Saccharomyces cerevisiae S288C: one gene and its partner. The gene in region 2 interacts genetically with the main gene of each other region. Each region holds a gene or a part of one and is shown on either strand. Other genes may lie near its edges.

Region 1 (5,296 bases), on a different chromosome or scaffold from region 2:
CTAAAGAAAACCTCGGAGAGTAAAAACCAAGTATGCACCTAAACAATTGATCACTTTCAATTAGGAAATAAAATCCCTTGATTTAGACGAATACTGTAGAATGCAATAAAAGGTTTTGTGATTCTAATCTAGTCCCTTACGTTATGCACCGCTTTCAGGAAGGTTATGGGCTGTACCATGAAATCAAAGGTGGCTCATAACTAGTAAGTAAAAGTAAATGTCCTTTTTTTATGCAAGATCTAGAACGATTCGAGTATGGTGTTGATACCACTGTGGTAAGTCTTTCAAGCTACACGCAATTACACACACTCACAAATCTAGTTGTATTTACTCCTTTTATTGTTGCTAGTCTAATTATTCGTCCCACGATTTTATCGTTCTTTGAGTATTTCGGGTCTCAAAAGATTGCTAAATGAAATAACTCTTAAAAATTGCTTCACATAGTCTTGTTGTTACATTCACAATTCACAGCTTTCCGTTGCTCATCGCTTGATAGGAATATATTATGATAGGGATTATCCTGAAAGTTTCAGCAAAACGATAATTACTTCAGCTTTTCTTCGTCTATTTAACCTAGTTTTCCGTCATAAATCCGTTCTCTTAAAAGCACACCTACTCCACTTTCTGAAATAACATAGATATTGAATTTGACTTAGATTCATATATTAGAAAAATCGAATAGTTTCCTGTGCCTAGAAATTCTAAGGTGCCATTCCAGAGGATTTTTATGACAAAGATGAGATGTAAGAATCAACTTTTTTTAATATTTTATATCTTTCATCAAAGAAACATCACAATGTATATTACAAAGTGGAGAAGCATCCAAAATATAGCTGCAGTGAGAATTCATTGAACTGTATCAACTGGGTGGAAAATGTCACAGTCACTTATGGAATTCTATGATTTTATTCAATAGAAAACATTTAGTAAAGCTGGTAACCGACCTTTTTTTTTTACACATTTTTTTTTTTTTTGCTGATTATACCTTGCATTCTAACACCGGGTTCTGATGTTATCACCTACTTTGTATCTCGCATCATTCTTTATTTGGTAGACACGTCCCAAAATGGAGGATGCGCACTAACGAAAATGAAGGATAATGCAGTGAGAATGATAATTTTGATATTGATAGGATCAATTGAAAGCATATCACATGTTTTTTGTGAAATGTTGTATAAGAGATAGCGCTCTTGTTGGGTTTCGATAGGGGGAATGTGGAGTATCTGATGTAACACTGTAGTCTTATTTCTTGTCATAAAGAGGGACTGATTGGGGTGAGGCATATTATATTATAGGAAAAATTGCAGAATATCTAGGTAGTAGTCGCTTCAATAAATTTTTTTCCGACACAAGAATAATGAGACAAATCGGACTATATTTGACGATTAAATAAACCCAAAGCACCCCTATGCTATATGGGGGAACTTTAGAGTAAACAAGGTTGAAATACGTCAATTTGTAATTTCATAAAATACGTGAGGTCTTTTTGTGAGAGATACTTGCCCATTTAGATTTTTGTCCATATCGTGATAATTTTTTTGAGTTTTAATTAATGTGCTCCACCATCACAGAGTGTGTACCAGTGCAACCCACTCAGGGATATGCTTTAAGTCATATATTCTCGCTCTATGGGAACCATAAGCTGGACACATTTCTTGAGGTTATTTAGTAGCGAAAAATGGCGCAATGTTACTCTTTCACTTCTATTATATGGGGCTACAATGCCAATAAGGATTAATGGGTAGCGATTGTGGTTTCTTACCTTTGTGTAGTTGCGTAGGCTTTTTAGTGTATCAGTGAGCAAATTTAGTCCAAAAAGATCGCCAGCGAAGACTGTCGTATCTGGATCATTCGTAGTATCGATAGCTTAGCGATATTCTCGAGGATGTAAAGACAGCAGATTGGAGTTCTGATAATTTTTCATTACTTTTCAGTGAGAGAGTGCCTTTCTCGTTTTATATCTCAATCCTACCCGTAGAACTGGTCTGCTATTCTCATTTATCATTTTATTTCAAAAAAACCTTCAGGAGACAAACTGATTCCATCAAAGGCCTGTTTGCTATCTAGGACAATATTCGAGCTTAGTAAGTCACTTCCTGAAAACCATTCTGCTTGCGAGCCCGAAGCTTTGTGGCAATCAGTCTTCCACATCTGTTTGCAAGGGTGTTTTATTTCATGTCGTGAGAGATTTGTGATTAAAGCTGTTTTTATTAATCAGTTAGCAGCTTCATTCTCTTGAAGGATATATATAATTTTCTCAGATTTCTTCCGAATAATATTTAATCATTGAAATGGCAAAAATAAAAATTACTGTCAGCTACGCTATCTTTATATAGCTACAAAAAATTAATGGCCACTAAGCAATTACTGAGACGTCAAATCAAAAGGGTAATAAATGCTCTTGACTACGATATTATCGCTGCAGAGTCGCATACTATTTCTCAAGCAGTACGCTCATTGATCGCTTCCGCCAATTCTAGGCGTGTAGCGTGTTATATGAGCATGGATAAAGGAGAAGTAACGACTGGAGAAATCATTAAGAATTTATTTCAAGATGGCCAGGAGGTCTTTCTGCCAAGATGTACTCATACTTCTGAATCGAAACACTTCAAATTACGGGAAGATCATCATCCACATTTAATATTCCATCGAATGAGTAGTTTGAAAATGGTTCGTGATTTGAAGCCTCAAGGTCCATATCAACTAAAAGAGCCTGAACCGCATATTGAGGAATCAGATATTCTAGATGTCGTATTGGTGCCTGGAGTGGCGTTTGATATTAAAACTGGTGCAAGGATGGGTCACGGTGCTGGGTATTATGACGATTTTTTCCAACGGTATAAGATACTGCATGAAGGCCAAAAGCCCCTCCTAGTTGGACTATGTCTTATGGAACAGGTGGCCTCTCCAATTCCTTTAGAAAAACATGATTATTCCATGGATTGTATAGTATGCGGAGATGGATCCATACATTGGTTTCAATAATTTCATATATGTATTATTTACATGGTACAGCTATTGTATAAATAAATAAATAAATAAATAAGTAGACGGCAAATCTATTTTTCTTCTTTTGGATTCCCTTGTTCGCTAGAAAACGTGGCATTAGCTTTGACCAATGTCCTGTTGCCACTTTGGTCCATAAGTTCAGCCTTTAATTTAGTTTTGTTACCGTATTGCTGAAGATCGGTGGTTCTTACTACAACAAATTGATTAGCTAACGTGGGGAACTTGTACGAGATACTCAAATTCTTGGTTTCTTGGTTTATATTTTTTGTTCCTTTTTCGAGTCTAATGGCCTCCTTCATTAAATCTTCAATAACTGTTGCTAAAATGCCTCCGTGAATTAAGAAAGGATAACCAGTAAGTTTCATTCCTAAATGGTATAGCCCGACAGTTTCACGCCTACTGGGGTTGTAGTAAACTCTTGGTGGTATAGCGACGCCACCTGGTGTATTTAATGCCCTTGACACTAACAAGTTCTCCTCTTCATTAGCAATCACTTGTACAAAACCAGCATTCTCCAACTGTTTTACTATGGGTAGGCCATTTAAACGTCTATTCAGATCAGCGTGATATTTGACGACTTCATCTGCGTTCTTGGGTAGGGCATCATATCTCCAATAAGCTAGTAAGTCCGTGAACGTCATATGCTGTGTCAAGTACCACCCTCCAAGAAAACTTCCCCCAAAAATTGTCCATGGAATCCATCTTCTTTTGGGTTTAGAGGCTGTCTTGAAAACAACGCCATTTGTATACGTTCTTATCTGGGCTATTGCGATTCTTTTAAACATCTTGGCCTTGCTGGTACGGTCTCTTTCTCTTCCTTACTTTTCTTAGTTTCTTTATAAACTCTTTGTGCACTTTGTGAGTTTGTTCCTTTTCTGCCAAGGGGTATGCCTCATCGAAAATTAATCAATCTTTAAATAAGGTATTATGTTAAATAAATGAAATGTAAAATGTGTCGCTAATGGAGTACTTAGAGACATTTTTGGAAATCAGTTTTGTGAAATATTAGAAAGAATTCCTTTTGTTTATTTGCTCAGAGTACAACATCTCAAGACTTTTATTCCTGTTGCAAACCAATGTTCACGTACGGTGACCCAAAATGATGGCAGTCATAATCAAATCTAATGGAAGTTGAAATCAAGAAACGATAATGTAATAGGATTGTAAATTACAACTTACAAAGCAAAAGAAGTAATAATAATATGCTATTTAGAATTGCCGATTCTCTTTTATTGATTCCTGTATCTTTTGAGGAGAACTTCTAGTATATGTCTAATGTCGTTTTACTAGAAATGGGACCCCTGAAAATCGTCAGCAACTTTCAACTGAATCTGAGAATGATGCTCAAGTCGTCATTTTATCTTGCAGAAGCTAAGTGCAGGAGTTGATAATACAGCAGAATTAAAAGTGACAACGCAAGAAACAAAAACAAATGCAATCTCAATATTATGTGAAATTGATGATTTCGTAGCGAATCATGCGCACTGTGGGAGAAGCCTGGGTATAATTATGTATGCTAATACTGTTACGTTTATCTGAGGTTTGTGTGAATTTTGTGATAATTATCGGGATTCCATTGTTGATAGAGGCTTCAATACTATGTATACAGAACATACTAGAACTTCTCCTCAAGGGTATAGGGATCCTCAAATTTAATCGGTATTTGCATACAATAATATTACGATTATTTTTCCTATCGTTTTATATGCTTCATTTTCCCATTACATTATCAATTCTTGCATTTCAGCTTCCATTAAACTTGCTAACTCTTTCTCAAGCTTCATTTCATCTTCCTAGATCTCATATGATACTATACCAGCAGCAAGAATGCTACTAAATGGATGATATTCTAGAGTTTCATTTCATCATCTACACGAAGGGATGGGGGCATCTGAAGTATTTGAAACGTTGCTATGATTTCATAATTTATGCAGGTTTAACACAGATTACAGGTCTCTTGGCCCAGTTGGTTAAGGCACCGTGCTAATAACGCGGGGATCAGCGGTTCGATCCCGCTAGAGACCAATTTTTTTGAAAATCGTAAAAAGGCCCAAAAGGGAGAGCACAGCACGTTCTGCTTAAAAAAATAAAAAATGATGTCTTCAATAAAACATCTTAAGGACCAGTTTGTAGATCTGCGAAGTTGTTGACTAGATAAATTATAATAGCAAACAAACAAATAGGACAATGTCAGCGGAGAACATTAGTACTGGCTCGCCGACGGGCAAGCAGCCATCCTCTGAAGTTAATCTTGGCGAAAGAGAAGCTGGAACAAAAAATGAGAGGA
Region 2 (7,429 bases):
CAAAAATAGGTTAAAGTTTTATGACAGCATCCTAGAGACTTTCCAAAAGCAGATGGCGCGGTTGAATGAAAATAAGGAGCGATCGTCATTGCTTGGATTAGAAGAGGTCGGTTATATAGTTGAAGAAATGTTTAGAGGCAAGTCTCCTATTAGCGGATACTCTACGAAACTAGCTCTAACAAAATGGGAAGCTAACAAAGAAATCTCCTTAACCAATGTTGTTCTGATGACGAAAGAAGAGCAAGAAATTCACGAAAAAAGGATTTTGCTGGATGGTGAGAAACTGACAGCTGTATACTCTGAAGAAGTTCTCGATTTTATTGAGAGGCTTTTTAAAGAGGAGGAGTACTATTCTTAGCAATGGGAGATCAAAAATACAACATATTGAATATAGATTTATTAATACTATTTACATCATAGTGTAATGCAGTGTACTTCCTATAGAACCCGAATAGACGGTTTCATTGCGATATGCAAATAAAACAAAATGCGATGCATAATTAAATGCCAAAATTCCATTTCATTCTTTCATAGACGAAAAAACTACATGCAACCATAGGTGTTACTTTAATATAACCTATGCTTAGACCAACAAAAAATCCACGTACTCCACGTTCTTTAAATATTATGTGAGCAATTTCAGATATCGATTGAAATTTATGATCATACATAGTTTTTGGTGACAGTGCACTTACTTGGAGCCTTCTCCTAATAATTTCAAATGGATATGCTGCCGTTTGGGAGGCCATACCAGCTAGACCACCAGAGATCAATTCAGCCCACGTACGCAAAGGCCTTCTCTGCTTTTTCTGTACTCTTTCCAATTCATCATCTTCTGAAAGTTCTAATACTGAATAAGGGGCAAAGAAAGGACTCTTCAGCACATCATGAAGTAAATCGTGAGCAAAAAAGGAAACACCTGCATATGGTATCATGCCAAGTACAGTTGGAACATAACCCCTATAAAAATTACACCAATGACAAAACCAGTTAGGAATATAATCATTTTTGATTAGCGTGGCTGAAGCTGGTTCCTTATATATTTTCTTGATTATTCTTCCTAGCTTTACTCTCTTATGTTCTGTTTCATATGCTAACCTAACCCTCACGAGATCTAACGGATATGTTATGAAAACACTGCATAATCCTGCCAGTGAACCACTCACCAACCTTCTCCAATGTGACTCAAATTCTTTTGAGGGAATCAAGGTATTCCTAATCTGTTCATAAGCAACAAATTTGACAGCAGCATATGGAAAAATCCTTAAAAGGGTTGCTGAATGGCCTTGAAAAAACCCCCTTACCCCATCATTGATCCATATATGCTTGGCTGCCTCTACTAATCCTATTAGTGAGCCTGTGTACTTTGTGTAGTGCGGATTTGATGTTTGAAATAAAATTTTTATTCTATCTAAGGGTGCGATTAGTGTTTTCGCACATGAACCTGATATACCTCCAGCTAATCCCGATCGTACAATATAATCGAATGAATTTCTATCAAACGAGGTTTTTTGTGTAGTATTCTTGTTTATATGCTTATAGCTGTCGTTAGAATCTGGGCTATCTCGCGTCATACTTAAGAACTGTGTTTATTTTAGCAGTTACCTCGAGAAATTTCACTGGTGCTTTCACGAGCAAACTATTTTGTTACTCTGGCTGTTATGTCCTTCTTAAAGGATTTAACGAGTTCTAAAACGGCAAAGTTTTCAAGTGCTTGGATTTACACTATTTGAGGTTATTTTAAGAGATGATCTTTCAAGGGTTTTAAATATTAATTATAATATTATTTGGTCTTTTCTTCCGGCGGGTTGAAAGTTCCAGCTGCGGGAGGAAGGTAAAGTACTCCATTTGAAAAAATAGAAATTACAAGAAACGGCGTTAGCATTGGCGTATGCCTAAATCATCAAAATGGCGAATGAAATAGGTTTCCCTGAAAACATAGAGATGTGCTGCCCAATTACAAAGCTCAAAAGATACATAAAAAGAGGAAAAACAAACCTGTAGTTAACTTTTCCCTACTCTTTGATAACTGATGTTTTAGTAAATATTCTGAAAATAGAGGGGTAAATATTTAAAAATGTTGTATGGATCAATTACTTTTTATACCTTTTATGATCCAGTTTAAAAATATGTATAGATAATCGAGAATATGCAAAAATAAAAAAAAATACAAATGTGTTTTGCATTAATTCCTCTTCCAAAATGATAGAAAAGAACGTAAAACAAATAAATAAAATCACTCAGCCGGTTGGATGTTTTGGCTTCAATTAGGTTTATCTTCTGGTGGAGTATGATCTTCCAATGTAGGTCCTAACAACGGAATCTTTTTGTATAGCGTATCTTGAAACTTAGGCCATCCTTCTGTGAATACAAATAGCCCAAGCATGCTAGCACCACCCCATAACATTAAATTCGGAGCATAAGCTGTTAAACTTCTTAAAGAAAGTCTACCGAAATGTAGACCAGTTTTTGAAGACAGATGAGAAGTGTACTGTATTATAAATGTTAGTATACTAATTCGGTTCTAGCTCACATAATATGATAGGATACTTACCGCCATTGAGGTTAGTTTTAAGTCTTATGGATTGTATTTATCGATATATTATTCGACTTGCGCTTTTGCTGTGAAGATTATTCCAGAAGATATCTATAACAAATTATGCATTCAAACTGTTATGTGATATATCCCGTCCCCTTGATAAATGGTATGGTTTTTTGATGCGGAAACAACGGGTTGAACCATATTTAGTTTTAATTGGATCAAAATCACGTGACAAAATACTACTTTGCAATAGTAATACGCACTTGAAAACTATGTAAATATAAGTATATATTCAAAGTGCGACAGCGTTATATCGCATAGCATTCTTCAGTCATTAGAGGTAGTGGTGAAGATTGAGGACAGTTTCGCGGCTCGTAACGTTAGCAAAAACTACCCATAACTAGGTGCATATTACACTGATATTAAATTACAGAGTGAGAAATCGTACTAGTATAATTAAAATAGAATGAGAAGCCTAATTCTTTTGGATTCCATGCTTTTTATAAGCCGGAATAGAAAATTTTTCAGTGAATGTCTGTCCTGGTAAAATCGGGGCAGTTTCCAAAATGCTCCTGATCTGTTCTTCATGCTTGTCGGTCCCTTCAGGGATGTGCTTGTAAATATAATAATCTAAATCCTCACCTGGCTCTGCCCTTCTAAATAGTTTTGAATGAAATTCAACGCCGTCTTCGGCCCTCTTTTTGGCCAGCTCTCTTTGGCGGTTTTCTATCTGAAACTTTTCTTCTGTAGCTACTTCATGGTCACGTACAGCCAGCGCATCCGTAACCTTCTTCCAAAGCCTTCTCGATTCGTATTCTCCCTGTTCCTCCAATGGGCGGACTTTAGGAGCTAGAGGAAAATGCTGATGAGTATCGAAGAGAACAGTCTTTTTAGAGCTTTTTTCCCTCAAATCTTTGATATACATAATATCATTCCACTTACCACTAATTTGGTAGTATTCCTTACCATCGTAATCCTTAATTGTACCTTCAATTGCATCATAGGTACCAGAAATAAAGCCCTTTGTTTTGAACTCAATATCCACTTGATACTTAGGACCCATAATGACCATGTGATCTCCCAATTCAATCCTCATCTTGCCAAACAGAATTCCCCTTGCGTAAACATTTGGTTGCGATAGAGTATATTTCTCTGGTTTACCATTTGCATCCTTGATATCAAGGAATTGCAATACAGTTAACCCCTCCATCATTGCAGCACTTGAGTTTCCTAAAAATTTCGATTTTGGCACAACAACTCCATCAACTCTAATATTCGATTCTGGAATCATGTAAAAATACGCAGATTCAGGAGGATGGTGACTCGTTTGTTCTGCAATGTAAAAGGCTTGTTGCTTGTTAGGCAAATCCCAATAAGCTGTAAAGTGTTCTCCAAGAATGGGATTTAGGGGCTTCTTCACAGCCCTGGGCCCAATGTGCCAACCTGCTAGGTACCATGCTACCACTTTAACGAACCTTTGCAGCCCGTCTTTATTGGAGTGTGCTTCTAAAAGAACATCTGGGAATTGTAATTGATTAGTGATTCTCTCCAACATCGATTTTTTTTCCAGAATAAATGTCGGAAGTGTGATTCTAGATAAATCACAACCTGGCTTCAGCTGGGAAATAATATTTAATAGAATACTTTGCCCAGATTCATCATTCTCATCGATATCATCCGTGTCTGCTCCGCTTGGTTTGGAATTTGCAGCATTGGATGCAATGCCGTTAATTGAGCTATGAGAACTGTTTGTTAAAGAAGGTATATTCTTTAGTTTATTGAGAGCCATTCTTTGTTTCTAATTTACTGGTTAGTTTCCTATTTCTAAATGAAAGAAGGAGGAATCTTTCCATTTTGAATATATCACATCCCTTCTTTGTTGACGATTTCAGAAAATATACTTTCATCCTTTAGAATTCTGGATTTGCGAGTGACCTCGGAAAAATTAGTACGCACGAGCGAATTAACATTCCTATAATATACTGATACATATTTCGAATTTGATTTAGGTAATCATTGGTGCATTACATTCCTTACCTTGAATGTACAGCTCTAATTACACACAAGTTAAAAAGTAGATAAGAAGAACTCCAACAATTACACATCCACAAAACGATTTAGTATAATAAGTAGGATGGTAATCACATGACTAATAATTCTTTTAATTTTAATTAATTTAATAAAATTAAAATAATATATATACTAAATTGTTTATTAAAAATGATTAAACATTGGGTTTTGTGTTCCGAACTTAGAAAATTGGTTAAGACATTATCTTAAAAACGCGAAAAATAAAAAAATGATTATTGATGTTTATTTCACAAGCACTAAGGGAGAGTTTTGTCAACAAAGAATTTTATCGCTTCCTCAAGCCCAAATCTCTTGCCGATCTAAAGGAATAATCGTAAGAAAGAATTTACGGAGAATATATCGTCATAGCAACCTGAGGGTGTATCACCACCTCTCTACTATTATCTAGATGCTTTTTTGTTCCTTGCGTCGAATGGTAGTTGGCGCGAGTAATATAGCTGGTGAGGAAACTCTCATGGTAAAGTGTATTTATAATGGAGCCGCAAAGAATATCCCTTATAAAACATCACTATATTGAGAGGAACAGGGAATGTGGCCAGAACAAAATGAAATGATATGTTGTTTACATAAATGGTTAAGATTAATATATATAATATGCATTGACGGAACGCAAAATTGCTTTCAGTACTTACCTATGGATTTTAGAATTATTCTTCTTTTTTTAAGCCTTAGCCAAAGCCTTCTTGACAGTGTATCTCTTTTGCTTTCTTAAAACCATAACTTGGAATCTTTCAAAGTCAGTCAAAGCAGCACGTCTTTCACGTTGAGCAATCTTCTTAGCCCAAGATGAAGCAGCCCACTTTTCGCAAACACCAGCAGCAGCCCACTTCTTAGAAACGGTAGCAGTTCTAGCACCTCTTGGTAGAGCAAAGGTCAATGGAGTTAAGACAACTTGACCCAAGTTGATGGCTTGACGTGGGACACCAGCTTTTGGACCATCAATCAAAACCTATAGTAATTATAACGAATAATTTAAAAAATTATTCATAAAAGTTGTTAGTAAATTGAAATACTTTGAAAACAGGAAAAGATTATTTGGCAATTGAGGAGGTATGGCTACATGTGCTGAAGTTATCTTCTTAAGTATGGGAGTTATTAACTGCCAGGGAAGGAGTTTGCCAGTAACAAAATATGTAGAAATTTCACTGTTGTTTATGCAAAAAAAGAATAGAAACATCTCCGGCCCTCTGTCCCATTGCATATTTCAGCATCTACTCATTGTTTAACATGTTTCACTATTCAGGCATGAATCAGGAAGTCGTTGGCGGTCCCTGAACATACGGGGACTTTCTCTTCCTTACAATTTCCTCCTCAGTTTGTCCACGGTGGGTTTTAGGTTCAACATACCTTCTTTTGGTCGATAATTTCAACGATAGCAGCCAATTTACCTGCGGATTGACCCTTTTTGATCAAAACGACACGGCCGACTTCGACTAATCTCCAGTTGGAGGCTTTAACAATAGAATCAGTGGACATTTTTGGTTTATTTGCGCGTTTATTTCCTGAAGTTACTTTAAATGCTTCACACTAATAAATGCTTGTAGCCTCTCTTCTTTATTATTAATTTAGAATGTTAGGATACCCTTTTCTGAAGATTGCGAAAATTGGAATATCGAACAATGGTCGGGGAGTCTCAAGAAAAAAAAGCAAGAAAGTTTTACTGTGTGGTGTAAAATAACAAAAAATGTGTGGGCTGAAAACCGTCTTTAAAGGTACAAAAGTTGAATAAAATGCTCTTCGTAAAAATTAAAGATATGTAAAGGTGCTATATAAGTTGAAGGGCTATTGTTCATAACCAGGTGGTGGTTGGCTAACAACTGAATATCCAAGATCATAACCGTATTGTGGGGTATTATTTGCGCTATTCGTAGGATGTTGGATTGGCAAATTAGAAGGGTAAGGTGAGTACTCATTGCTTTGGTAACTCTGCCTCTGAGGTGGCATTACTGGAGTATTATTAGCATGAGTCATTCCTGCGTAGAGTGCAGGGCCTGGAACTGGTGGTGAGATATGTGCGTTAGCTGCACGATCCATTAGTTGATTATATGAGCGTTCTGCATTTGCTAAGACTTGACGCAGGGATAACATGTCTTCTTTTTCTTTAGCATATTTACCTAACATTCTCGTAACTTGAGGTCTCAAAGGCGTTACAGATCCGTACATATCTCCAATATGAGGATCTTGCAAAACTTCATTTGAATTTCCCGTTTTAGAAGCTGCATTAAGCGAATTATGAAGTTGATCTATGGTAGTTTTTTGAGAGAATACTATGGCTTCCTTATTTTTTTCCTTCTCAATTTCTTCTTTCGATGGCTCAACAATCGGTGTTACATAATTTAATGGAAATATACCCATATTTCCTCGAAGAGCTCCCTTCCACCAATCTCTATATACTTGTTCCAGCACTGTAATAACATCGCCCTTCCTAAAGGACAATTCATCCGGTTCGTTTGTGGTTAAGTCATATAGAGCCCGAACTCTTCTCACAACGGTTTGTGCCGGTATTTTGTGAGCAGGAGCTTGATTCTGCTGCTGATGCTGCTGCTGTTGCTGCGGAAGGACTTCGGCACTTTCTTTTTCCTGTTCTTGTAGCTTTTTTTGCTTTTCGTACTCAAACAAAGACATTTTTAGTGCTTTTTGTAATTCCTCATCATCTGAGTTGTCTGCCTGGGTACTCATGTTATGCTTCTCTGGTACATTAGGCTGTACCAAATATGGAGCCTTTCTTTTAATTTTGTCATATAGATCTCCCATGGCGCGTAATGATGGGTCATCCTTGAATGAATCAGACAGTTG

What was found. A genetic interaction does not mean that the proteins touch.
Region 1: of LEU5 (region 2) and FMP10, a mutation in one rescues a mutant of the other (synthetic rescue), as found in Saccharomyces cerevisiae (2 studies listed by BioGRID, with this or other methods).

Annotation. Positions count from the first base shown.
Region 1 is NC_001137.3:551,023-556,318, reverse strand, and holds FMP10 (Fmp10p), read right to left. Parts: upstream 3,795-5,296; coding exon 3,060-3,794; downstream 1-3,059. Other genes in the region: TOG1 (Tog1p), read left to right, coding at 1-23; FAU1 (5-formyltetrahydrofolate cyclo-ligase), read left to right, coding at 2,350-2,985; YER181C (uncharacterized protein), read left to right, coding at 4,523-4,846; SLO1 (Slo1p), read left to right, coding at 5,197-5,296.
Region 2 is NC_001140.6:102,957-110,385, reverse strand, and holds LEU5 (coenzyme A transporter), read right to left. Parts: upstream 1,575-7,429; coding exon 501-1,574; downstream 1-500. Other genes in the region: TCD1 (tRNA threonylcarbamoyladenosine dehydratase), read left to right, coding at 1-358; QCR10 (ubiquinol--cytochrome-c reductase subunit 10), read right to left, coding at 2,264-2,491, 2,555-2,560; oxysterol-binding protein related protein OSH7, read right to left, coding at 3,018-4,331; 60S ribosomal protein eL14 RPL14B, read right to left, coding at 5,295-5,582, 5,981-6,109; ESCRT-0 subunit protein HSE1, read right to left, coding at 6,416-7,429. UniProt on the Saccharomyces cerevisiae protein: Required for the accumulation of coenzyme A in the mitochondrial matrix.